Arabidopsis thaliana: one gene and its partners. The protein of the gene in region 4 binds, or shares a complex with, the protein of the main gene of each other region. Each region holds a gene or a part of one and is shown on either strand. Other genes may lie near its edges. The genes, in order: NRPD1B, NRPE5, RPB5E and NRPE7.

Region 1 (6,404 bases), on a different chromosome or scaffold from region 4:
CAGAATTCTTGAACTTGGTTTACCCAAATGGTATGTAACTTGCAGCATGATCCATCTTTTGTAATACAGGAGCAGGAGCAGGACATGCATATTGAGTATGGAAGAGACCAAGCTGATGAGTTATCAATCAATAGCGAAGCAGTCAATGACCCATCACCAGCAGCTATTCATTTGGGAGAAGCATCATCAGATTATGCACAAAGTTCTGTTCGAGGTAATAAAAGCTTTTTTACTCATATCCATACCAATCTCAACATAAGAAATGAAACATTCTTTTACTGCGGTCAAAATAATTGATTAGGTGTGGAGAATCTTCATTGTGGATGGCTAATTGATGAGGAGGAGACGGATCCTGAGGAGGAAACGGATCCAGAGGAGAAGGAGACCGAGCCAGAGGATCCAAAGGAGAAGGAGACGGAGCCAGAGGAGGATAGTGATGGTGATGATGATGAGATCATTCAGCTTACTCCAGAACCTCTTTGTGAAGAACTTCAAGAGCTTCTCAGGGAAGTACGTGGACAGAAGAGGAGGAAGAAAGAGATGAGGTGGGACAAGTAAAGGAGCTATGGAGCTCCTGTAAGTAGCAAATTGATATATATGTTAGGAAGCCAAATAGTAGTAGTAAGCTATAGTATTGTGGTGAAAAAAGGTAAAACGACCCATCTTAACATCTCTTGAGATATTGGTTTTTAATAATTTGTGATGGAGTAGAGAAAGCAGATAGTCTTTATCAGTAGTTGTATGAGTCATACAATAGTACCCGAACCCACTTATCCAAAGATCAATGTCGAAAGTGGAAACCAAATCCCTCTAAAGTAAATTGAATAGCCAGTCTAAAAGTTAGACCAAATCTGAAAGTCGGTTTAATTGCAATTATACCTTCTAAATGCAAGAACCAATATCAACCGGTACTTCATATTCTTTTGATTTTTGATTTGTACATATAAACTTTTTTTTGTACATATAAACTTAAATGCAAGTATAGCTTGACTTGTATTTTACACATCAGCGGAAAAGTTTGAGAGAGGAAGCATATTGTATTTCGTTTGGTTACAACTTTTGCTAACTTTTACAATAAATGGAATGAAATTTTTTTCCACTTAATTCCTCCTGAATAGAAAGAAATTGATGCAATTTTGTTCCCTTTTTAAATCCATGAGCCAATAAGTGCATCTCCAATTATATTCCAAATTTCACTCTAAATACTAATTTAGAAAAAATCCTTTTAATACCACTATATTCTCAACTCTAAAAGGGAGTGATGAATATGGTATGATATCATCTGTCACTTCATTTTGGAGTTACCCTTTACTTTTTATTTACAAAATATTTTCCTAAATTTATACTCATGTTCTTCATTTATGTGTAAACAAAATTATATAAATGAAGAAAAAGAGTTATTGTTAACCTTCTCCATGTTTTCATTATAAATTGATATGAGCATTGGTTACCGTTCTTTCGGATAAAAACGAAGTTTATCTCTTGAAAACATTGTTCCTTTCATATTCATATCGCATCAATATATAATTGAAAAGTTCATTTATGGTGATCGATCAAATATATAACAAAATAAAATGAAAAAATACTTTAACATTTTATATATAATTTTTGAAGACAAAAGAGCTGTTTTTTTGTCTTTAATTGATTGGTCAACTGTTTACATATTCATTTTTTTGGTATGAACTATTTACAAATTCATGAATACAAAAAATATCTCAAATTTTTTTTTACAAGTCGATCCACTTAGTTCTTACCGTTTTTTTGGTATAACCATTATTTTATAAAACATCGTTCCCGCTAGATTTTTATCGCATCAAACATAGCGTACTACAAACGGAAACGGTCATCTATGGCGATCGATCAAATATACAACACCAAAATCGAATCCAAAAAATAGTTTACTTGAAGTATTTATATGTTTTGCTTCACTGCTAATTCTATGGTTTTGAAATCCTTTATTCTTCTCAAAAAAAAAAAAAGTTTGTCAATGGTTGTTGACATGGTCTTGCATAATATGTGGATAAATATTTGTTTTAATCATTTTCATCATCATTGCATATTCCCAAGTGTTATCAATTGTTTGACAAATAAAGAAAAATTAAAATTGATACCTTTTTATTTTAGTTAATTAATAACGAAACTGAAAATATTTCTCCCTTTGCATGCAATGTGGGTTTTAAAGACGGAAGCTGAAGAGTGAAGAAGAACAAAAGATTTTTGAGAGAGAAAAGTAGAGTCACTCCAAAATTGTTCTCTCGCAATCTTCTTTCTCGGTTTCCTCTTTTAAGAAAAAGTCCGCCATTTTCACTCTCACTCAGATTTCTTCCCTCTTCTCACCTGCAAAAACCCTTGTTTCCCGCTGTTTCGTTTCTTCTCCGGTTGAGGAACCAAAACGGGTCAAATACGCAGCTGAATCATCGAATTCTTAGGTATTTTCGTCTTACCCAACTCTTATCTTTAGATGTTTTTCCGGGAAAAGAGCTCGATCATGACTCCGCCGTGTTTTTTTTTGGGGGGGGGGGGGTTTCTCCGAAATGGGTTTCAAATGTAGGTTACTCTAGGTTTGAAAGTTCGGATTTTTTGGTTCACTGTGTGTTACTACAGCTTCGATTTTGTGTAAACGAGTATAAAAATTGTATCTTTTACAGATTTGAGAACTTGTTCTTCAAAGACTTGATTTTTCTTTGTATCAAGTTAGTGAGCTCAAATGTCTTTGTTTCTCTGTTTGTTTACATCTGATAAGAGCTAACTCGGTCTCGCTGGTGTGTGATTTTCGCTCGTTAGGGTTTTTTCATGGAGGAAGAATCTACATCAGAGATTCTTGACGGAGAGATTGTTGGAATCACATTTGCTCTTGCTAGTCACCATGAAATAGTAAGTTATAAGAGTTATACTCTCTGGAATTGATCCATCTTGTTCTGCATCAATGTTTATCATGGGTTTTACATAACTGAAGGATTTCGAATAGCTAAAACCTCTATGTTTTGGTTATCTTTGGCACTAAATTCACTATAATTGTACTCAAGCTCTGTGTGATGCTAAGTGCTACACTTTTGCATATAAATGTTGTTCTGCGATATATCCTCTGTCACTATTCCATTTCTCACTGGACTGTAATTCTTTCTTGCAGTGTATTCAATCGATTAGTGAATCCGCAATTAATCATCCCAGTCAACTCACTAACGCATTCTTGGGGTTACCTCTTGAATTTGGTAAATGTGAATCTTGCGGTGCGACAGAACCAGATAAATGTGAAGGTAATCCAGTTCCGTAGTTGCTATATTTTTGTTCTTACATCATTTGTTGGAATACTTCTTCAGATATCGGTATTTGTTTCTACATTTTCAGGTCATTTTGGTTATATTCAGCTTCCAGTGCCAATATACCATCCTGCTCATGTTAATGAGTTGAAACAAATGCTGAGCCTTCTGTGCTTGAAATGTCTGAAGATAAAGAAGGCAAAGGTATTACCTCATTGAGTTTTCTTAAATTCCATGTGATCCACACATAAATAAACCATATAAAATCTCGACTAATCTTTTTCACCTTTCTGAGTACAGGGCACAAGTGGTGGTCTGGCGGATCGCTTGTTGGGTGTCTGTTGTGAGGTGAGTAATGGCATATACATTCTGATTGTTTCCTTTTAAGTTTTACCTGAAAGCAAGTTGATAGATGTTTCTTATGTGAACCTGGTTCAGCATTTAGTTAGTTTTTCTAAGTTTTCCTTCAACTAGTTGCATGTTAGAAAACTTGCTAATTCAAATCTAAATAGTATTTGTGCTTCTTTTGATCCATTCAGTGAAAGTAACATTAATCAATGCTTGTGAAGCAGTAGCTATTGGTATTTTCGTGGCATCATGAAACATTCACTGCTTTATGTTATTTTGGATGTTATTATTGCTGAACGTCTTGGATTTTTAACTACTATATTACTTTATTAGGAAGCTTCGCAAATCTCAATCAAAGATAGAGCATCAGATGGTGCCTCATATCTAGAACTGAAGCTCCCATCTAGGTCAAGACTGCAGCCTGGTTGCTGGAATTTCCTGGAAAGATATGGTTATCGCTATGGAAGCGATTACACGCGTCCCCTGCTGGCAAGAGAGGTTTTTACTTTCTTCTGTGTGTTTATGTTTCTGTTTATGTAGGATTTTATGGTGACGTTCTTTTTGTTCATTTGGAATCATTCTCTATCTTTAAGATCTTTTCTTTCTGGAAACTGATGATTATGTACTTTCCGTGTCCTTTTCCATATGGTGGGAAAACAAATAGGTTAAGGAAATTCTAAGACGGATCCCCGAAGAATCAAGAAAGAAACTCACGGCAAAGGGACATATTCCTCAAGAAGGATACATACTAGAGTATCTTCCTGTCCCGCCTAACTGTTTGTCAGTGCCAGAGGCTTCTGATGGTTTCAGCACCATGTCAGTGGTAAGTTGAAACTAAATTACTATGTTGAGTTGAATGCTTTGGCTTGTGTTGTAACCCCTGGATTTGTGTCATTCTTATTTTCAGGATCCTTCCAGAATTGAGCTAAAGGACGTTCTGAAGAAAGTCATAGCCATAAAAAGCTCTAGGTCTGGCGAGACAAACTTTGAGTCGCATAAGGCTGAAGCCAGTGAGATGTTTAGAGTGGTGGATACCTATCTCCAGGTGAGGGGTACTGCAAAAGCGGCAAGAAACATTGATATGAGATACGGGGTGTCTAAGATCTCGGATAGTTCATCTTCAAAAGCTTGGACAGAAAAAATGAGAACACTTTTCATCCGTAAGGGTTCAGGTTTCTCTTCCCGTAGCGTCATCACTGGAGATGCTTACCGACATGTGAATGAGGTAGGGATCCCAATAGAAATTGCGCAGAGAATCACATTTGAGGAAAGGGTTAGTGTCCACAATAGAGGTTATCTACAAAAGTTGGTAGACGACAAGTTGTGTTTGAGTTATACTCAAGGTTCTACGACCTATTCTTTAAGGGATGGATCCAAGGGGCACACTGAGCTTAAACCCGGGCAGGTTGTTCATCGCAGGGTCATGGATGGGGATGTTGTGTTTATCAACAGACCCCCGACAACACATAAACATTCTCTTCAAGCGCTTCGGGTGTATGTTCATGAAGACAACACCGTGAAGATTAACCCTCTGATGTGTAGCCCCCTCAGTGCTGATTTTGATGGTGATTGTGTCCATTTGTTCTACCCTCAGTCTCTTAGTGCTAAGGCAGAGGTTATGGAGCTCTTCTCTGTGGAGAAGCAACTGCTTAGCTCACATACTGGACAGCTGATTTTGCAGATGGGTAGTGATTCTTTACTGTCTTTGAGGGTAATGCTGGAGCGGGTATTTCTGGACAAGGCAACTGCTCAACAGTTAGCTATGTATGGCTCTCTGTCCCTGCCACCACCAGCACTAAGGAAGTCCAGTAAATCTGGCCCAGCTTGGACAGTTTTCCAGATTCTACAGCTTGCCTTTCCAGAACGTCTGAGTTGCAAAGGAGACAGATTCCTGGTTGATGGAAGTGATTTGCTGAAGTTTGATTTCGGGGTTGACGCGATGGGGTCCATCATCAATGAAATTGTAACTTCAATCTTCCTGGAGAAGGGTCCAAAGGAGACACTTGGATTCTTTGATTCGCTGCAGCCTCTATTGATGGAAAGTCTGTTTGCTGAGGGATTTAGTCTAAGTTTGGAAGACTTATCCATGTCTAGGGCAGACATGGATGTAATTCACAACCTAATAATCCGAGAGATTTCACCTATGGTGTCTCGCTTGAGATTATCATATAGAGATGAATTGCAGCTAGAGAACAGCATCCACAAAGTGAAGGAAGTGGCTGCTAACTTTATGCTGAAGTCATATTCCATTCGGAACTTGATTGATATCAAGAGTAACTCAGCAATCACCAAGCTGGTGCAGCAGACAGGCTTCTTGGGTCTTCAGCTTTCTGACAAGAAGAAGTTTTACACGAAGACTCTGGTAGAGGACATGGCTATCTTTTGTAAGAGAAAGTATGGCAGGATTTCTTCATCTGGTGATTTTGGAATAGTGAAGGGCTGCTTCTTTCATGGGCTGGATCCGTATGAAGAGATGGCTCATTCAATTGCAGCTAGGGAGGTAATTGTTCGCTCTTCAAGGGGATTAGCTGAGCCTGGAACCCTCTTTAAGAACCTGATGGCTGTTCTTCGGGATATCGTGATTACAAACGATGGAACTGTAAGAAACACCTGTAGTAACTCAGTCATCCAGTTCAAATATGGAGTTGATTCTGAACGTGGACATCAAGGTCTGTTTGAAGCTGGAGAACCTGTTGGAGTATTGGCAGCTACTGCCATGTCAAATCCTGCATATAAGGCAGTGCTTGATTCCTCTCCAAATAGTAATTCATCATGGGAGCTAATGAAGGTATAGCA
Region 2 (6,285 bases), on a different chromosome or scaffold from region 4:
ATCTTCAGTGCCAGAATCTGTGGCCTCTCGAACCTCTCTTTCACATCCCTGCACATCAACACAACAGAGTTTAGCAGATGAAGCTAGACGATTGAAGAAGATACAAAGCTATCAAACAAAAAACCATTGATGCTGTGACATTTGGTAAAGTTCTACACAGCTATCAAATTCGGATCCAACATAAGGGTGCAAAAATCAGTAATCACGCTCATTTGAGGACGAATTTTACAGCAACTCATGAACTTCTAAAGCTCGATTCAATCGAATCCAATAAAAAAATATCCTCGAGAAAGCAAATCCGATTTCAGAAATTTCCAAGCAGAAACACGAAAACAGGTCTAAATTTCTGCAAATGGTTCATGATTCCATTTGCCTACAAGAGATGGTTCATCTTCTTCGGAAACATAGGCGGAAAAAAGCGAAACAAATGAAGGATATAGAGAAAACTTACAGCGATGACATCTCCGTCGCACCATGGGATCTTATCGCTGCCGCTGAAGAAAGTACCGACGGAGTCAAAGAATTGTCCGATCTTAGCATCCATTGAAGGCGATTTTGAGCTTTGATTGATGAGGTTTTCGTTTCTGGTCTCTTTCTTAATTCTTAAGGAGAGTTTCTTAAGGAGAGAAGTTGGACTTGTTGCCCAAGCTCAGGGAAACAGACGATATTTATCCCTTGAATTTATCAACAAGACCCCTGTATTGTTAAGACTTACCCACATTGATCACCATATCTTCTGTTTTGTTATTAACAACCCTTTGGAATAAAAAACTTCTGTGACATGTGATGGTGTATTACTGATTTTTTCCAATAAATTTACAAGATTCATAACAACTAGATAAGAAAAGGAAAAAAACTGATTTAATCTTTCACGATTAGATGTTTAACGTGGAGTTTTAACTCAATCAAGCAGTTATTACTATTGATGGTTTGTAAAAGTAATTTCTATTTTTTAAGTTATTAAAAATATCTGAAGCAACAAATTTCATATTTTAGATCATAGTACTTTTTTGTTGTCGATTTTAATTTAGGTGATGTATTTTGTTTAATTGAATAACAGTTTAACGTTAAAATACATATATATTCATGTCCATAGAAAATACAAGACTTATAAAAGCATCAAAATAATCGGAGAGATTTGCTGAAAGTTTGCCACTTCTTCAAACTCTTTGGATCAATATCACACGCCTCTTCTTTTCTTCCCCTGCCCATTTTTTTGCTACAATATCTAATTGGTTTCATCAGATTTTTTAGTATCTTATTCAGTCCTAGTCGTCGTCGGGCTTGGCTAGCCGGAGCTGCTGTATGTATCGGGGAATCATCGACGACTGCACTGTACATCAAAGAGAAGCCTGACTCAGATAAACTTCGACCAAGCAAGGCATTGTTGAGGTGAGCCTCGAAAGATAACCGCTCAAACCGATCCATCAATGAGCTTTGATTGTCCTCGAACCTCTGAAGAAATGTTGGAGTCTCCATGGCCTGTTTTTGTGTATTGATAGCGTGTAGTGACTGCTCTTTGTACGGAAAACATAAATGGTAATGTTTTCAAGAACAAGCAAAGGATCTTTTTTTTTTCCTTAACTTTTTTTCTTGTGTTCAAAGCAACGGATCTTCTAGGATTAAAAACAAAACCTTAGAAACATACAAGTTATTTTTTCCTGAAAATAAGTACACAAGATGGTTTTTAATTGGTTTCTTCACCACACACATCGGAAGGCAACATGCGATTCCGTGAGTTCGCCTCTGTAATTCACCTTCACAACTTGCCCTTTCTCTAATCCGTAGTACCGGACGATAGCATCTTTCTTTGAAATCCGAGGAAGCTGTTAAATAAATTTTGGGATGAACGGTTCAAAAAGTGAGACTATTACTTTTATTTAGCTGCAAGAAATGGATAATGGACCTGTTTTTCCTCAATGCTGAACTTCTTGAGAAGTGTTGTCTTCTCTTCATCATTCAACACCTGATGTTGTGGCTTCAGTGAATGTTTGGTTATGTTGACTAGCAGATCCGTTATCTTAACAAGACAGCAAAAAGGAAACTAGATGTTACAGATTTGAAGTACTAACCAAGAAAAATTAGATTAGGAAAATATATAGGTGTACCAACCTGGAATATCTCGACCTTGAAAGAAAAAAGTTCAATGGCTTTCAAGGCTTGATTGGTTACATGGTTTTGCAGAACCAATATCAGCCCAGTTATGGTTTCTTGGCTAAGTATATCCGCTACTACACTGCGGATTGCGTTGACTTTAACCATACTAGTACCAAAAAAGACAATTTTTACCTGAACAAGCAAAATCACAACACTTCTTGAAGCAGACCCTTTAAACCAATAACACAATGTTACTATATCCAGAGAATCACTATGAGATATCTGTCGTTATGCCATAAGACTAGAGCTGATGCAAGAAACATCATGAGTTGAAAATAGAAGACATTTATAAGTAACAAAAATCTTGTAGCAATCAATATATGAAATCGACTAGTTGAAAGCAGGTGACAAGCATGTCTATAAGCATACAAAAAGAGGTAACATGAACCAAACAACCAACAAGAAAAGGGGTAAGATTTTCAACAAATATCCAACTTAACCGTTCTTTTGCAGTTCAATCTCATTCTAGAATTAAACATGGAAACTTGTAGCTATCATCAGAACTCGCACATTTGACATTGACCATACTCTAAAGATTGAAGAGATCACTCAATGAATTGTCCGAATGTTCAATAGCCATAGGAAGAGATCTAAGAATCACTTTGCTAGTTGTTACCAGAAACATTTCACATTACAAAAATTCAGAGGACAAACAAATGAGGTATGCTACTTGATAAGGACAATAAAGTAGTAAACTTTAGTCATCTGAATCCACAAAAGTAGCAATTCAAACTTCAATTAGAAGATAAGAAATTTAAAAGAGTCACAAATTTCATATTCCATCATCTTCTTCACTGCCAAACAGTAAACCCCACAACATGCAAAGACAAAAAAACAGCTAGAAATCGAAAAATCACAACGAATACGAAAATACTTCGATATACCTTTTTGGTAGAATCGGAGCGATGCAGAGCGGAGATGCGAAGACGATCAACATCGGGACGTTCACCGTAAACAGTTCGAAAATCGTGAAGGGAGAGATTGATATCTTCGTCGGAGACTTCGTAGCCTCTGTCTCGGAGCATCTGCAAGCCATTTCGCCGCGCAAGATAGTATCTATGACTCTCTTCACTCGATAGATCCACGTATTTGCTCAGACACAGAACCGAAGCTGTCTCTTTCCCTTTCACTTCCATTTTTGTCTCCCTTATCTGAGCAAAAGTCGTCGAGTCCAGTGATGGGATTTAAAGGGAGACTAAACGTTGTCGTTTTAGGATTTAAGAACAGAAGGAAGAAAGCTAATATAGGTGAGCGAGCAGGTGACATCAATCAATCAAACTACATTTGTGGTAATGTTGCACATATTTTTCATTGATAAAAAATACCTTGCAAACAAAGCAAATCATTCGGCTATTATGCGAATTATCAATCATCATCTACCATTTGATGTACTTCATATAGTAAGAATCATTTAGTTCAAAAGGTCAAGAGCGTAAATGGAACAAAAGAACACAACTCATAAGAGTAAATAATAAAAGGCTTGAGCCAACTTACTTATTTGAATATACATTACTAACCAAATACCATGTTTAGTCAATCAATCTATATCCCCTTTCTCACACACATCTTTTGATCAAACTGATCACTTAGAGACAACACACACGACAACGCACCAATCCATTCTCATTGCATTTAGGACACCGCTTAAACCGTTCATCTTGTTCTTCAAACACTTTGGTGCTACCATCACAGTTAGTACAAGGCACAAACCTTGCATCACCACAGCTCCGGCATGTCCCCAAGCGTTCACAAGCAGGGAAATCTTTCAACATCTCTGCTAATTCACCACCATCATTTAGCTGCATAATCTCCTCCACGCCACCAATGTGAGTTCCTCTGATAAACACCTGAGGCAAACAAACCGGTTTCTCTGCGGCGCCAAGCACGCTTTGAAGCTCTTTCCTGTATTTGGAATCCATAGAGATGTCACGTTCGTCTACGGACACTTGAACTCCTCTCAATATCGCTCTAACGCAACAACAATCCTCGTATGTCTTTCGAATTCCTCTGAGGGTTGTGAAGTAGAGTACAATCTTGTCTTCTGTTCCTGGTAATCTCGGTTTGGCTGGTGATGAAATCAATTGACTAGAGGATACAGATTTTGGTTCTTCGCTTATTAAGATGGATGGATTTGATGATGGGCTACAAGAGAGAGACTTTGTGGGTCTATGAGGGTTTCTAGTATTACTATGATTGCTTAATAGCTTAGAAGACAAAGCTTTCTTGTAGGATGAGACAATGCTGGGATCTAAATCAGAGAGAAATGATTCTTCAGACAAATGCTTCCACAAAGGTTGCTTAGGTTTATAAGTCAAAGGAACCCAATCTCCATCGTCTTCTTCGATTCTCACAATCTCGTAAGATTCATCCAATTTCAACGAAGACCCATTTAAACTCACATTCCGATTCGGGTCGGGTTTAGAGCAAAAATCCGAATTTAGACGCTTACCCGGTTTGGGAATTTCGAATTCGAATTCATCGTCCAAGCCATCCATAAGCTCCCAAGTGTTTATGACTGAATCAGGAGAGACCGGATCTGGTGTGTTCTTCCCGGAGATTGAGATACGAGGCAGCGTTTGTTGGTCGGAAGAGGAGTTTTTGGATCCATCGAGATCAAGGAGGAGAAGAGAACCGTACGATGTAGATGTAAGGGAAACAAGGTGATGAGAGTCGCCTTTTCTCGCCGGAGGATGGTGAACCAACGGCGTCGGAAACGAAAAAGCTCTCTGCACCGCCGGTGAAGATGAATCGGAGCTGAATTTGGTCGGCGGTGGAGAAAACGCAGATGAGGAAGAAGCAGAAGAAACGGAAGAAGCGGTCTTTGAAGCAGAAGAACCCATTACGAAATCGAATTTAAAAACACTGACTTTAATGAATAATAGTTTTTAGTTTCTTTGCTCTTTCTGGTTTCTTCTGAGATTGTTTGGTTATCTCTGGGAATGATAGAGAACAGAGAGAGAAAAGAGAAAGGTGGAGAATAGCTGTCTAGGGCAGTTGAAGGTGGAAGATGGTGAAATTTAATGGCAGAAGAAAGAAACGATGTTGATGTTGATTTTCGGACACAACAACAGTTCTCGATTTGATTTTGATTGTGTAACCAAAGCTTATGTATAGAAGAAGAACCAAATTCCAAGAACTTTCCTTCACTGTCTATAAATTGAGCCAAACGTTTTTAAAATAATGAAGAAAAATAAAATATTAAAGAAAAATGTCATTATCTTCATAACTGCAATCTTTAATTCTTTATGATATTTTTATTAGAACTAAACGAAGATTGGAGGAGAAAAAAGGTTGATCAATCAAACAAATATTGACATGTCAGTTCCAAAAGATTTTATAATTAATTTTGGGGGTTCACAATATACATCTACATCTAAATTTTAGTTGAATTTATTTTTGCAATGCTTTATTTCTAAATTGCTTTTTTAATTTACGTCTTTGAAAATGTTTATTCCAAAATTTATCTTTTGAAATTTGCATTCAAACAAAATGTTTTGATATGACTCTATCTAGATATAAATATTAAGAATATATAAATTAAAAATATTAATTTTTATATCTACATATATTAAAATTTAATTTTAAAGTAAAAACATATAGATAATATTAAAGGTTTGAATGATAAATTTCAAGATAGGACCTAGACAGAGTATTCACGTGAATAATTTAAATCCTTGACTTTACGGAAAGTTTCTATATCTGACCTGTTATTAACTTTTCTTCTACCATAATTTAATATCATCATCTCATTGAACTCTTCCTTATTCATTTTTATTCATAATCAAACATTTTATTCATTTTGATTGATCTACACATACCTTTTTCTATTTCCTAAGATGATGTTTTGCAGTTAGCTGGTACGATTTAGTTGACTAGTCTTTGTAATGAAAGCTGTATATTCTAATCCCCACGAGAGAAAGTATGGTGCTTTGCTGTTACATTTTTTGTTTTTAATGAATTTGCTGTTACATTTTTGCATTATGTTAATGTATTTGAATCACGTATTATTATGTTATACGGTTTAGAAAAAGAACAGCTAATTGGACCACATCTTAATTAAAAATAACACTAATTGGACTACACATAAACAACATGGGAAGAAGTTGAATTGCACAAGGCAAAAACTCC
Region 3 (5,735 bases), on a different chromosome or scaffold from region 4:
TAATCTACATCAAACCAGAAATAGAGGTAAGCCTTGGAATACATGACTCGAACACGCTGCAGAACCAAGTCTCCCCTTGTTGAAACAGCCTTTGCACCTCCCTCGATTCTTGTCTGCAAAACGGTTACACTGTTTGCTTTAATCTTTCCAGTAACAGTTTCTTTCACTTCCACATGGCTTAAGATATTTTCAATGTCTTCATCTCCAGCAGTGCTCACGATTGGGCATGAGAGATGATCCAAAGGGTTTGTCTCACATTGAAGCACACATCCATCAATCGTTAGCCTTCCACTCCTATGAAGCAAACAGCACCCGAGCTCTGCTTTTACTGTTAAATTCGCAAGCTTGCAGGTTGATAACAGTTCCAGGGCACTGCACAATAAACCCAACAACAAAAAGCCGTATACCAAAGTATTTTCCTTTTCTTTAAACATCAATGGGAAATGCGGTATTCAACAACTTTTAAGAAGCTAAAACCTCCCAGAAAGAATTTTGAAAACAACTGTAGAGAGGAAATGTCTTAAGAGGGAATATGAGTTCCAAACCTGTCTGAACCACGAGCACAGACGAGGGTGGTTTCATCAGGAATCTCGCCTCCACCGACCTGAACAAAGCGAAGATAATATAAAACTGAGACTACTATCGAACATTGAGACTTATGTATCAACATCATCCTCAAGGCATCTACTTTCAATAGCTTAGGAACTCCTTTCAACCTCAAGGCGTACATTCTTCCACTTAACTGAAACTAGGGACACTGATAAGCCAACCCCTAATCTACACTGAGGTATTCTAGGGGTGTGCATCCATACATTCATGATAAATCACTCATATTTCTGCAACTCTATCTTTTCATCCTAATTCATACACCAAGGTCTACTTTCAATAGTTTTCATTACAGCTTACAGTCATTCCATGTGTTGCCCAGTATGAGAAAAGGAACATTACTGATAGGTAGGTGGCAAGTGCATAAAAGACTTTGAAGTCGAACTGAATTCTTTTTTTCGAGTTCTCACGACAGTCAAAGAAAATTTTAGTCATCAAGTTCTAGTTCTTTAACACTCGTTAAAACGTCCATGTCACAAACAGCTCGTGCTTAGTTTCCAGTTGTGGCATTGAAAGTAATTGTGTGCAAGCTTAAGATATCTTTCATTTCTATTTTGGTACCTAAGACGTGGCATTGTTTTCTCTGGATCTCTTCAATGCATACTGATCTCAGATGCCGAGACCTATGGCATGGAATGGAATCTCCATCCTCATGAGAATAGATATGTTACCATATGTTCACATGTTTCTTGGATACTACACAGATGTTGGTATAAATGGTTTATACTAAGTCCTATAAATTATTTTTCACTACTTGCGATTTTTGAAGTCTAATTTTTTTTGGCAAGACTCAAGAAACATGTGAAAGTAGACCAATTTCACATTGCCATTTCTAGAGAAAGTTATAAACGATTCTTTCAGAAATATCAAGCAATTACACTAGACATATATTCTTTGAAAGACATACCAGGCAAAGAGGCTTTTTAATCTGAATATTAGAAACGCGATAGTTCCCACCGGCTACTATTAAAATGGTATCGCCGGGTCTAGAGGTGACAATTTGGTTAGATTTATGGACCCTTTTACGAATAACAAAGAAGTGTAAATAACGTAACTGATAATATTACAAACCTTGCTGCAGATACAGCTGACTCAATGTTGAGGAAAACTCCAGGCTGAGATAAATCCTTGACAAAACGGTCAACACGGAGCCACAAGCGAGGGTGACACGCCAGATATCTCCATCTGTGGCAAACGAGTGCTGTGTTATACCTATCTGCAAACTCACAAGAGATACACAAAACAGCATTGAAACAGACTGTAGTACGCAACAAATGCCCAAGTCAATCATACAAACAAAATACGAAATTTTCAAAGCTTCACACAACACCATACAGATCAAAACATAGCAATTCAATACAAAGTCAAAAGCTTTCTTGCTGATTCTGTTACATTACTACAAAGCTGTATCACATACACACCAAGTCAAGAGAAACAGATAATTCATCATGGAGATTAGAATTGAATTCAATTATGATTTGATTAGGATCTGCAAAGTCTCAAAGTAGTAAATTTGAGACACAGAACCGTCATTAAGATGTGAAACAGTTGGTCAAATTTTCTAAATGAATTACAAACAACGAAACAATTAAAAGCAGAATTGAACAAAGAAGTATAAAAGTATGAGAAAACCAAAGTAATAGATGCGAAAAAGAAACCAATTTTACCTGGAATTGGAGATAGGAAGCTGAGGATATGCATAAGGCAACCATCGTCGAGATTGTTAAGAGACGTGAGAGAATAAGGTTTCATTCTCTTCTTCATCTTCGATTCAACAATTCTCTCTGGATGCTTCTTATTGTCGAGCTTTGAGATCTCATGTAACTCCATGGCCGCTTTAGGAAGTATGAACCCTAACTCGTCGCCGTCGTTAATAACAGCCGACTCAACTATCCATTGACGTCATCTCGACATTGGTTATGTCCGGTCCAACAAAAACATGTCTTTATGACATTATGGTTATGCTTTTTTGGAGTTTTCTTAAAAGTAAAATTGAATAAAAAAGAGAGGAATCGTAACCGTTGGTTGATTAATGCAATGGACAGTCCAGATGTATTTTAGTAAGGGGCCAGCCGAGAAGTCTCAAGCACAAACAACACTCTCTCTTGTGACAAAACAAACTCATAAAACCTTTCTCTCTTCCAACAGCAAAACTCTGAAATTGACAGAGGAGAAAAATGGAGGAGACAATGGCCGAAGAAGGGTGCTGTGAAAATGTTGAGTCGACGTTTGACGACGGTACCAACTGTATTTCGAAGACTGAGGACACCGGAGGAATCGAAAGCAAGAGGTTTTACTTGGCTCGCACGACAGCTTTTGAGATGCTTCGCGATAGAGGCTACGAAGTTAATGAAGCTGAGCTCTCTCTCACTCTTTCTGAGTTTCGTTCTGTTTTTGGTGAGAAGCCTGAGCTTGAACGCCTCCGTATCTGCGTTCCTCTTCGCTCAGATCCCAAGAAAAAGGTTTCAGCTTTTCTTTGTTCCACCGCTATTTTTCGATTTGGGTGTTACTTTTTGTTTTTAACAGATGAAAATGTGAAAAAGGCATCACCTTTTTTAGATTTTGGGTTTGCATTTTGGTTTAACGCCTTCAAAGAGAAAAAAAATGTGTAAAACGCTTAAACTTTTATCGATTTTGAGCTTCCAGCTTGGGTTTGCGTTAAAACAGAAGAAAATTTGAGAAATGCGTCGACTTTTTAGATTTAGGGTTTAACCTTGGTTTAAATTTGCCTTAATACAACAAAAAGATTTCAACTTTTAATTATAGGGTATTTTTAGGATAAGACTAGTGAGAACTGAGAAGTATATGGGTTTATCTTCTTCTTTCCAATGATGTGTGGTTTGCGTTTGGTCTTGTTCTGTTTAATTTATAGCTTTTGGTATATGTTTTGGAAAAGCTGAAGAACTAATACATACCCATTTTTTTCTTGGGAACCAAGAAAATTTGTTGTAGCAGTAAGGTTCCTCGCATGGTACTTGTGTTGTAACGAATGGCATATTGCTTTAACTTTATAATGGGAAAGGATGGGATCATATTAAGGTGTCATTAAAATGTTATGTTTGAACAGCTAGTTGAGATGAGAATGTAACCAGACATATTCTCATGCTTTTACCTGTTTTTCATTAAGCTTATTGAAATGGTTTTATGCAGATCCTTGTTGTGTTCATGGGAACTGAACCAATCACCGTGAAGTCAGTTCGTGCTCTTCATATTCAGATTTCCAACAATGTAGGCTTGCATGCTATGATTCTGGTTTTACAGAGCAAAATGAACCACTTTGCCCAGAAGGCATTGACTACCTTCCCTTTTACAGTTGAAACTTTCCCGGTCAGCACTTATCTGTTTTCCTACATGATGAAACATTATAGCTCTGGATTTGGATTGTCTTGCATGATATCTATTGAGGATCATGAAATTGAGACCTGAATTGGAAATACGTTAACTGAACAGTTACATGTTTATACTTATTGAATATGCCAACAGATTGAAGATTTGTTGGTCAACATCACAAAGCACATTCAGCAGCCAAAGATTGAGATTTTAAACAAAGAGGAGAAAGAACAACTGCTGAGGAAGCATGCACTTGAGGACAAACAGGTCTGTTTATATTCTGCACAAAGCTTCTTTGCCTATTTGTGTATGCTATGTTTTAATGGATGTTTCTTTTCCATTTCAGCTTCCTTATTTGCAGGAGAAGGACAGCTTTGTGAGGTACTATGGGTTAAAGAAAAAACAGGTGGTGAAGATTACATACAGTAAAGAGCCTGTTGGGGATTTTGTGACATACCGATGCATCATCTGAACTCTGAAGAAAGGCAAATTCGTTGCAGCTACTCTATGATTAACTAAGACACTCCTGTTACCTATTTCTTCTCCTCAAAACAGTACTTTATGTGTCCTTGGTGTGTGCTTACAATTGTATTAAGAGATTGAATCTGGTTTCGAATGGGGGAAAAACATTGCAAACTACACGTTTTCCAAAATGTAGTTGTCATGGAGATACGTATAACAAAAGAGGTTTTCGAAAAGTAACAAAAAAAAAAAAATCTAATTACAAGAATAAGAGCTTCACAAGAAAGGAGCAGTCAGGAGATTGTTTCAAGAGACGCAGAAAGATGCTGTCTAGTCTGCAGAAATACCCAAAGCTCCTCTCTAACACGGCAACCTAAACTGATTGAAAGCAAAAGCAACACCTGCGTATTAGTTACAATCTGTATACAAGCTCTATGCACGTATACAAAAGGGCATGGAAACGATTTATAGAGTTATAGTATGGAAATAACAACCTTCTAAATTTCACAATTTTCTTTTGTTTCCTTGGGATGCTTCAACAACCCTCTCACCAACAGTACTACTAGATCCAGAGTTGGGTGCATTCCCCAAAGCAAGTGAATCTGCAGGTCCTTCTTCCTTTTGAGCTTTCTGCTTAGTTAAGTGAGTCTCTCGTATGCTGCATTTAGGAAAATTCCCTTTTTCTTCAGTTCCCATCTTCGAAGAAGCGGGTGATTCTGGTCCTTCCATTCGCTTTGCCGCCAACATATCAAAAGGCCTATGAAAGAGCAAATGAGCCACAGTTCTGTCTGTGGGGTTGGTCACTGCTTCTGTATCTGGCATCCCAGCATATCTGTAAATATCAAATACAAAAGCTAGTTATGTAAACCACAATTTGATTGATAGTGATGATGAACTCGGTAGCATTTATTAAAAAGGTTAACCCCCATTTACGAAAAAGTATGCTTGTAGTTTTACTAGTTTACATTGTCTAAGTACGAAGTTAACCATATTGAATAATACGCATAAATTTGCTTACCTATATCTGGATTCTTCTCTGGGAATGACTTCCTGGTCATCCTGGCTAGTCTTGTTACTGTGGGATGTATCACTAGTGTAATGTCTCTGAGCTGCACTACCAGCCAACCGGAATAAGCTATCCCGTATACAAGTCCGTGTTCCCATATCCAACTGCAGGTCAATAAAGAGTATTAGTTTACTCCCAACACAAACATAACAAGTCAATCAACCATTTGAGTACCTTTGCTACAACATCCTGAAGCCGATAAAGAACTGCGAATTCTGCTGAATTATCAACAGCAGCAGCAAATTTGCCAGAATCATCTTGTTCCAAAGAT
Region 4 (5,409 bases):
GAAATCATAAATCCAATATATATAATATCAGAGAAACAGGGCAGATAAACGAATATGATCTAGATTCTTTTAAAAGATAGATTCAAGAAAAACCTTTTAGGATTTGGGAAAGAAAATACTTTCTCTGATTTAGTTAATGTAATATATATGTTTCCCTTCTTATATAATTTGACTTATCTACTTCTTTTTTTTTGGTATGTCGACATCAAGAAAATTTAATTACTAATTTGAAATTACACATTAGTAAAGCTGAAATGTGAATCAAATTACCTTAACCGTCGAAAATTTATGAATTTTGATTTCTGATTTCTGAAAAACTAGAAACCCTAAATCCAAATAACTAAGTTGTGATAAATTATAGGAAATAAATTTAATTCTTTAAAACAATCAAATTTCATCTATATTTATTATTTATTGTTGAAACTAAGAAACTAGCGGAGATTTGTAAAATATTTATTGAAAAAATGTTAATTCTTATTTTTTTTCAATGTAAATTCTTATTTTGAGTTAGTTAGTTTTTTTTTTTGCCAAATACAAAACACTTAGTAAATTCAAAGATAAGAATCTTATGTAAAGAAACAGTAAAAAAGAGATTAGAAGAAATCATGACCTTCCATCTTTCTCTTTTTTTATGACATGTGTTAATCAATTGATGAGATTTTGATACATGTAAAGAACTTCTTCTAATTAGATTTTGATCTATGCTAACATAAAAATGAAAAATACAATTTTTTGACAAAAAAAGTAAAACGTTTATATTAAAGTATATAGTTAAAAAGGATACACTTCAATGAAAATAAGAAAATTACATAAAAAAGGGAAAACCTTATTAAAAAGGGGAAAAGGTTATTAAGTAAAACTTTGTTTCTTAAAATGAGTAATTAACATAATCACATTAGCCGTTTCTTTAGGTGTCGAAGATGTTGTATGGAGGAAGAGACAACAGAGCATTTATTTTTCAACTGTACCTATGCGAAAGCTGTTTGGCGAGGCTCTGGAATATCAAACAGGTTACTCTATGACCCACGGACCCCATGGGAAGAAAAGTTGAGAGAGATCCTCAAGTGTAACACGGGGACAAGAACGCCACATCTTAAGCACTTACCTCTTTGGATCTTGTGGAGACTATGGATATCACGAAACAACCTCACCTTTCAACAAAGGAACTTTTCATGGCGAAAGGTAATACGACAAGCTCGAAGTGATGCAAAGGAATGGCATGATCAAGATGAAAGAAGTTTGGGAATGACGAACCCTCCGCAATTTCAGAACGTTGGTTTTCAAGGCGAATATCATTGGATGAAGCCGAATACAAACTGGATCAAATGCAACTATGATGGTAGCTTTATCAACGGACAACCGGCTAGTGCAGGATAGGTGATTAGAGACGACAGAGGCACCTTTAGAGGTGCAGGTCAAGCTAAAGGAAGACATGTAAACACAGCTATGGAAAGCGAATTTCAGGCACTAATTCTTGCAATGCAAAGCTGTTGGATTAAGGGATATACAAGAGTATGTTTTGAAGGCGATAACAAAACAGTGGTGGAACTGCTTCATGGTCGGCAACACAATTTCAATATTTTTAATTGGATTAGGGAAGCACGCATTTGGAGAGACAAGTTTAATGACTGCCAGTTTACTTGGGTTCGAAGAGATCACAACAAAGCGGCGGATATCTTAGCGAAACATAGAATACCATCTGATGCTTTGTCGCATTTTTACAACCTCATTCCTAATGTAATCACAAACGCATTATACCGGGATTTTAATCCCTATTTAATATGAGAAGCATGTTTGAGTAAAAAAAAAACATAATCACAACACGTGACAGACGACCAGATTTCAATGGAGATATTTTTTTAATCTAATTAGATTAAATAATTAAAAGGAAATATATATTAATTTGTATTTTTCTATCAATTTAGAGAAGAAAAAGTATATTTTCGAATATGATTAAAAAGTTTAATCTAATTTTAAATATTTGAGAATCAAATTTTCAAAGTTTTTAAATATATGAAATTAGTAATCTTAAAATGAAAAATTAATTAGTTTCTGAAAATATATTTAAAAGAAAATAGAGAAAAAGTGAATACTAATGGGCCAATAATAATATAGTCTCAGTAATAATGGGTCTTTTCAGCCCATCGACATGTAAACAAACCAAAATTGAAAGTCTCCGAGTGTTACTTCTCAGTCGATAGAGAGTTTGAAACAACAAAACAAACTCTCGCTTCTCGCATCGTTGATTCTCCAAAACCAGTTTTCACTCTCTATTGCCGATTCTCGTTTCGTTTGATATCTTAGGAATCTATAAACAAAGGCATGGGTTCAGTATTCTGTTGATTTTCTCAATCAATTTCTCAGCTATTTTCAGTCTTAAGGTCTTGGTCCATGGGTTGCTCGAGAAAATGTGGAAAAAGTGATGGTCTGAGTACTTAATCGTAAAATGCAAATACAAAGCTTTTGTGGGTTTATTAAAGTTGGTAACTTTTGATAGAATTTTGAGGACTCTTACTTGTTTACTTACATGCCTGCGTAGTGTTTGTTTAAATGCCTGTGAGAAATACTTTTTAGTGAAAAGCTCTTTTTTTTTTTTTGTTTAGTGTTCGTTTTAGTAGATATGTAATGTGAAACTAATTTCTGAATCTCTGTTTTGAGTACTGTAGAGTTATGAAATTGGTATTTTGCTAATGCATGTCTACATTGTGTCCAGATTCTTATAAAAACAGAAACTTTGATCTTATCTTATGGATGAATTACTTTAGGTTACTGATGATGATTTGTATAACCTAGATGTTCGTTTCAGAGAAAAACCTGGAAATTACTGTCTACTTCCTTTTCCTTTCTCTGTGATCTTTCAGTTTTGATTTTTTCCAGAGTCTTTCTCATATCTTTCCTTTGAGAAGAATGTGATGATAGTAAAGTATTTCTATTCTCTGGATCAATGATGATAGCTATGTGACATTGCTTTGATTTGGTTTTGAAGGTTGAACAATGTTTCTCAAAGTCCAATTACCATGGAACGTGATGATTCCAGCTGAAAACATGGATGCCAAAGGGCTGATGTTGAAGAGAGCTATACTAGTAGAGTTACTAGAGGCGTTTGCTTCCAAGAAAGCAACCAAGGAGCTTGGCTACTACGTGGCAGTCACAACTTTGGACAAGATTGGAGAAGGCAAAATCAGGGAGCACACCGGTGAAGTTTTGTTCCCGGTAATGTTCAGCGGAATGACTTTCAAGATCTTCAAAGGAGAGATAATTCACGGTGTGGTGCACAAGGTGTTGAAGCACGGTGTCTTCATGAGGTGTGGTCCAATCGAGAATGTTTACCTCTCCTACACGAAGATGCCGGATTACAAGTATATCCCTGGAGAGAACCCGATCTTCATGAATGAGAAGACGTCTAGGATTCAGGTTGAGACTACAGTGAGGGTTGTTGTGATTGGGATAAAGTGGATGGAAGTAGAGAGGGAGTTTCAGGCGTTGGCTAGCTTGGAAGGTGACTATCTTGGACCATTATCTGAAGAGTGATCTGCTTGATCTCTTCATGTGATGGCGTTTTTGGGCAATCTCTTATGTCTATATAACTCGGCTTTAGTTCATGTTTGGTAGTAACTAGTAACTACTCTCTAGCTGTGCAAATAATGAAAACATTGATCTTTGAATGTAATGAAATCCTTCACCTTCAAGAGGAAAGATTGGTCTAATTTAGGTTTTTTGTATTGGTAATGATTTTTGCTTGCTTGTGAGTCTCTTCCATATGATAAGCTCAGATTGGAATTAGACTCTGAAATCGTAGTCAAACCGGATATATAAGAAATATTTCAAACCAAAGTTAACCGAACCAATCTCAGAGCACGATTATGGATTAATCATCACTCATCACCATCGAGAAATCTCTAGTTTCAACAGGTCTCCAGATTTCGAAGCGGCGTATGAGTTTTTTTTTGCCAGTGACTGTTTCTGCGCCGATTGAAGCGGTGCCGCTTTGAATATTGCTACTTTTGCTCGCTATGTCAATTCAAAGTCTAACAGCCCAACCCAATAATCGTTGAGTTTGGGAAGACGAAAGAAAGCCCACGAGAATCACATGAGAATGTGATTGCTTGGCAGGTCTAAAACCCTAAATAAAAAATTTTCAATGTTTGGATTTGTGGATGACACAGGATTGGTTAATACTCGTTCTTGGCCCGACTCTCCTTTCCTTCGGTAATCGAATAGTAATATTTATTTAGTTAATATCTTTAGCTAATAGCCAACAATTTTATTTCGATAAAAAGAAGTATCTGAAAAACACTTTGATAACAATTAGATAGTAATTGCATGTATTTTATCAAACTATTTTTGGTCCACGTCATCAAGAAAAACATGCCAAGTTGCAAGAACATGCCCACGAAAGCTTTATATATTTTTATAGTTAATTTCAAACTAAACTTTCAACTTATGAAAATACCTTGTTTTAAGATACCAAATAGAGGTATATGAAAACAAGGTTTACTGGGCAAATGTGTTTGTTGGGGAAATAACTTTCATCATATTTTCATATTTTCAGCAAATTCGAAGATCGTGTGTTTCACATTGAGTTGTATTATGATGCATAATTATTGTCTATTCAACACATGGTCGGCTCAAAATAATAAAGGACCCAGAGCTGGAAAAAAAATTAGTTCACATATCTGTGTTTTGTTATGTAAATTTTTTTTTGGATCGTAATTGTACTAGATTTACTTTAAAAAAAAGAGAAATTTTGGGTGGACCCTGTGCCTCAGCTCCTCCAGCACATGTGTAGAGTCGGGCCTGATCCAACATACTTGTCAAGGTAAATCTTGTCTTCTAGCCAAAGTACACTTAGAAACATTTGCTTAGTACCTATTTATGTAAGAGTTTATTTCTTATATTCTAACAATGATTTGGTCCGATTGTATTGTAAAAACTAAAAAGGAGATACTAATTACTTAGTTTTGTGAAAATCTATGTAAAAATAATAATAAAAAAATTTCTACAAGTGCAAATTGTGAACTAAGATATTTATAAAAAAAGATTGATCAATTATTGTTTGTAATTTTATCTTAATAAAAGCAAAAGCTGTATGAGGAAGAAAAAAAAAGAAAGAAAAAAAAAAAAAGCAAAAGCTGTATAACCATAGTTTGGAATGCAAGATGATTAAAGTCCATTATATAGTCTCTCATTCAAGCTATCATTGAATTAATGCAAACGCGATCATTCTGATTTTGTTGTTATGCTAACTAATTCAAAATTTATCCAAATTATAAGTATCGAAAATGCATATGAAAAAATTAAAAATTTTAAACCAAAATTCTTAAACAATTAGGAAAGACATATCCATAATCCAAATCTCAATCATCGATATATATGTATGACAAGAGATTGATTACAGTTACACTTATC

The links.
Region 1: NRPE7 (region 4) and NRPD1B share a complex: the UniProt entries of both Arabidopsis thaliana proteins name them as parts of the RNA polymerase V complex.
Region 2: NRPE7 (region 4) and NRPE5 share a complex: the UniProt entries of both Arabidopsis thaliana proteins name them as parts of the RNA polymerase V complex.
Region 3: NRPE7 (region 4) and RPB5E share a complex: the UniProt entries of both Arabidopsis thaliana proteins name them as parts of the RNA polymerase V complex.

The regions. Positions count from the first base shown.
Region 1 is NC_003071.7:16,712,296-16,718,699, forward strand, and holds the start of NRPD1B (nuclear RNA polymerase D1B), read left to right. Parts: upstream 1-2,164; 5' UTR 2,165-2,429; intron 2,430-2,784; 5' UTR 2,785-2,793; coding exon 2,794-2,874; intron 2,875-3,130; coding exon 3,131-3,257; intron 3,258-3,348; coding exon 3,349-3,464; intron 3,465-3,560; coding exon 3,561-3,608; intron 3,609-3,941; coding exon 3,942-4,106; intron 4,107-4,272; coding exon 4,273-4,431; intron 4,432-4,515; coding exon 4,516-6,396; intron 6,397-6,404. Other genes in the region: AT2G40020 (Nucleolar histone methyltransferase-related protein), read left to right, coding at 70-214, 302-558. UniProt on the Arabidopsis thaliana protein: DNA-dependent RNA polymerase catalyzes the transcription of DNA into RNA using the four ribonucleoside triphosphates as substrates.
Region 2 is NC_003074.8:21,122,886-21,129,170, reverse strand, and holds NRPE5 (Eukaryotic rpb5 RNA polymerase subunit family protein), read right to left. Parts: upstream 3,335-6,285; 5' UTR 3,294-3,334; coding exon 3,042-3,293; intron 2,290-3,041; coding exon 2,113-2,289; intron 2,021-2,112; coding exon 1,907-2,020; intron 1,827-1,906; coding exon 1,701-1,826; 3' UTR 1,096-1,700; downstream 1-1,095. Other genes in the region: BIGYIN (Tetratricopeptide repeat (TPR)-like superfamily protein), read right to left, coding at 1-48, 452-544; AT3G57072 (uncharacterized protein), read left to right, coding at 3,335-3,472; AT3G57070 (Glutaredoxin family protein), read right to left, coding at 3,744-4,997. UniProt on the Arabidopsis thaliana protein: DNA-dependent RNA polymerase catalyzes the transcription of DNA into RNA using the four ribonucleoside triphosphates as substrates.
Region 3 is NC_003074.8:20,170,890-20,176,624, forward strand, and holds RPB5E (RNA polymerase II fifth largest subunit, E), read left to right. Parts: upstream 1-2,715; 5' UTR 2,716-2,783; coding exon 2,784-3,068; intron 3,069-3,756; coding exon 3,757-3,933; intron 3,934-4,089; coding exon 4,090-4,203; intron 4,204-4,282; coding exon 4,283-4,408; 3' UTR 4,409-4,573; downstream 4,574-5,735. Other genes in the region: SKIP5 (SKP1/ASK-interacting protein 5), read right to left, coding at 1-372, 546-604, 1,514-1,592, 1,678-1,822, 2,274-2,436; AT3G54500 (agglutinin-like protein), read right to left, coding at 4,903-5,230, 5,417-5,568, 5,639-5,735. UniProt on the Arabidopsis thaliana protein: DNA-dependent RNA polymerase catalyzes the transcription of DNA into RNA using the four ribonucleoside triphosphates as substrates.
Region 4 is NC_003075.7:8,404,622-8,410,030, reverse strand, and holds NRPE7 (RNA polymerase Rpb7-like, N-terminal domain-containing protein), read left to right. Parts: upstream 1-2,139; 5' UTR 2,140-2,320; exon of another isoform or gene 2,321-2,479; intron 2,480-2,986; 5' UTR 2,987-2,994; coding exon 2,995-3,531; 3' UTR 3,532-3,784; downstream 3,785-5,409. UniProt on the Arabidopsis thaliana protein: DNA-dependent RNA polymerase catalyzes the transcription of DNA into RNA using the four ribonucleoside triphosphates as substrates.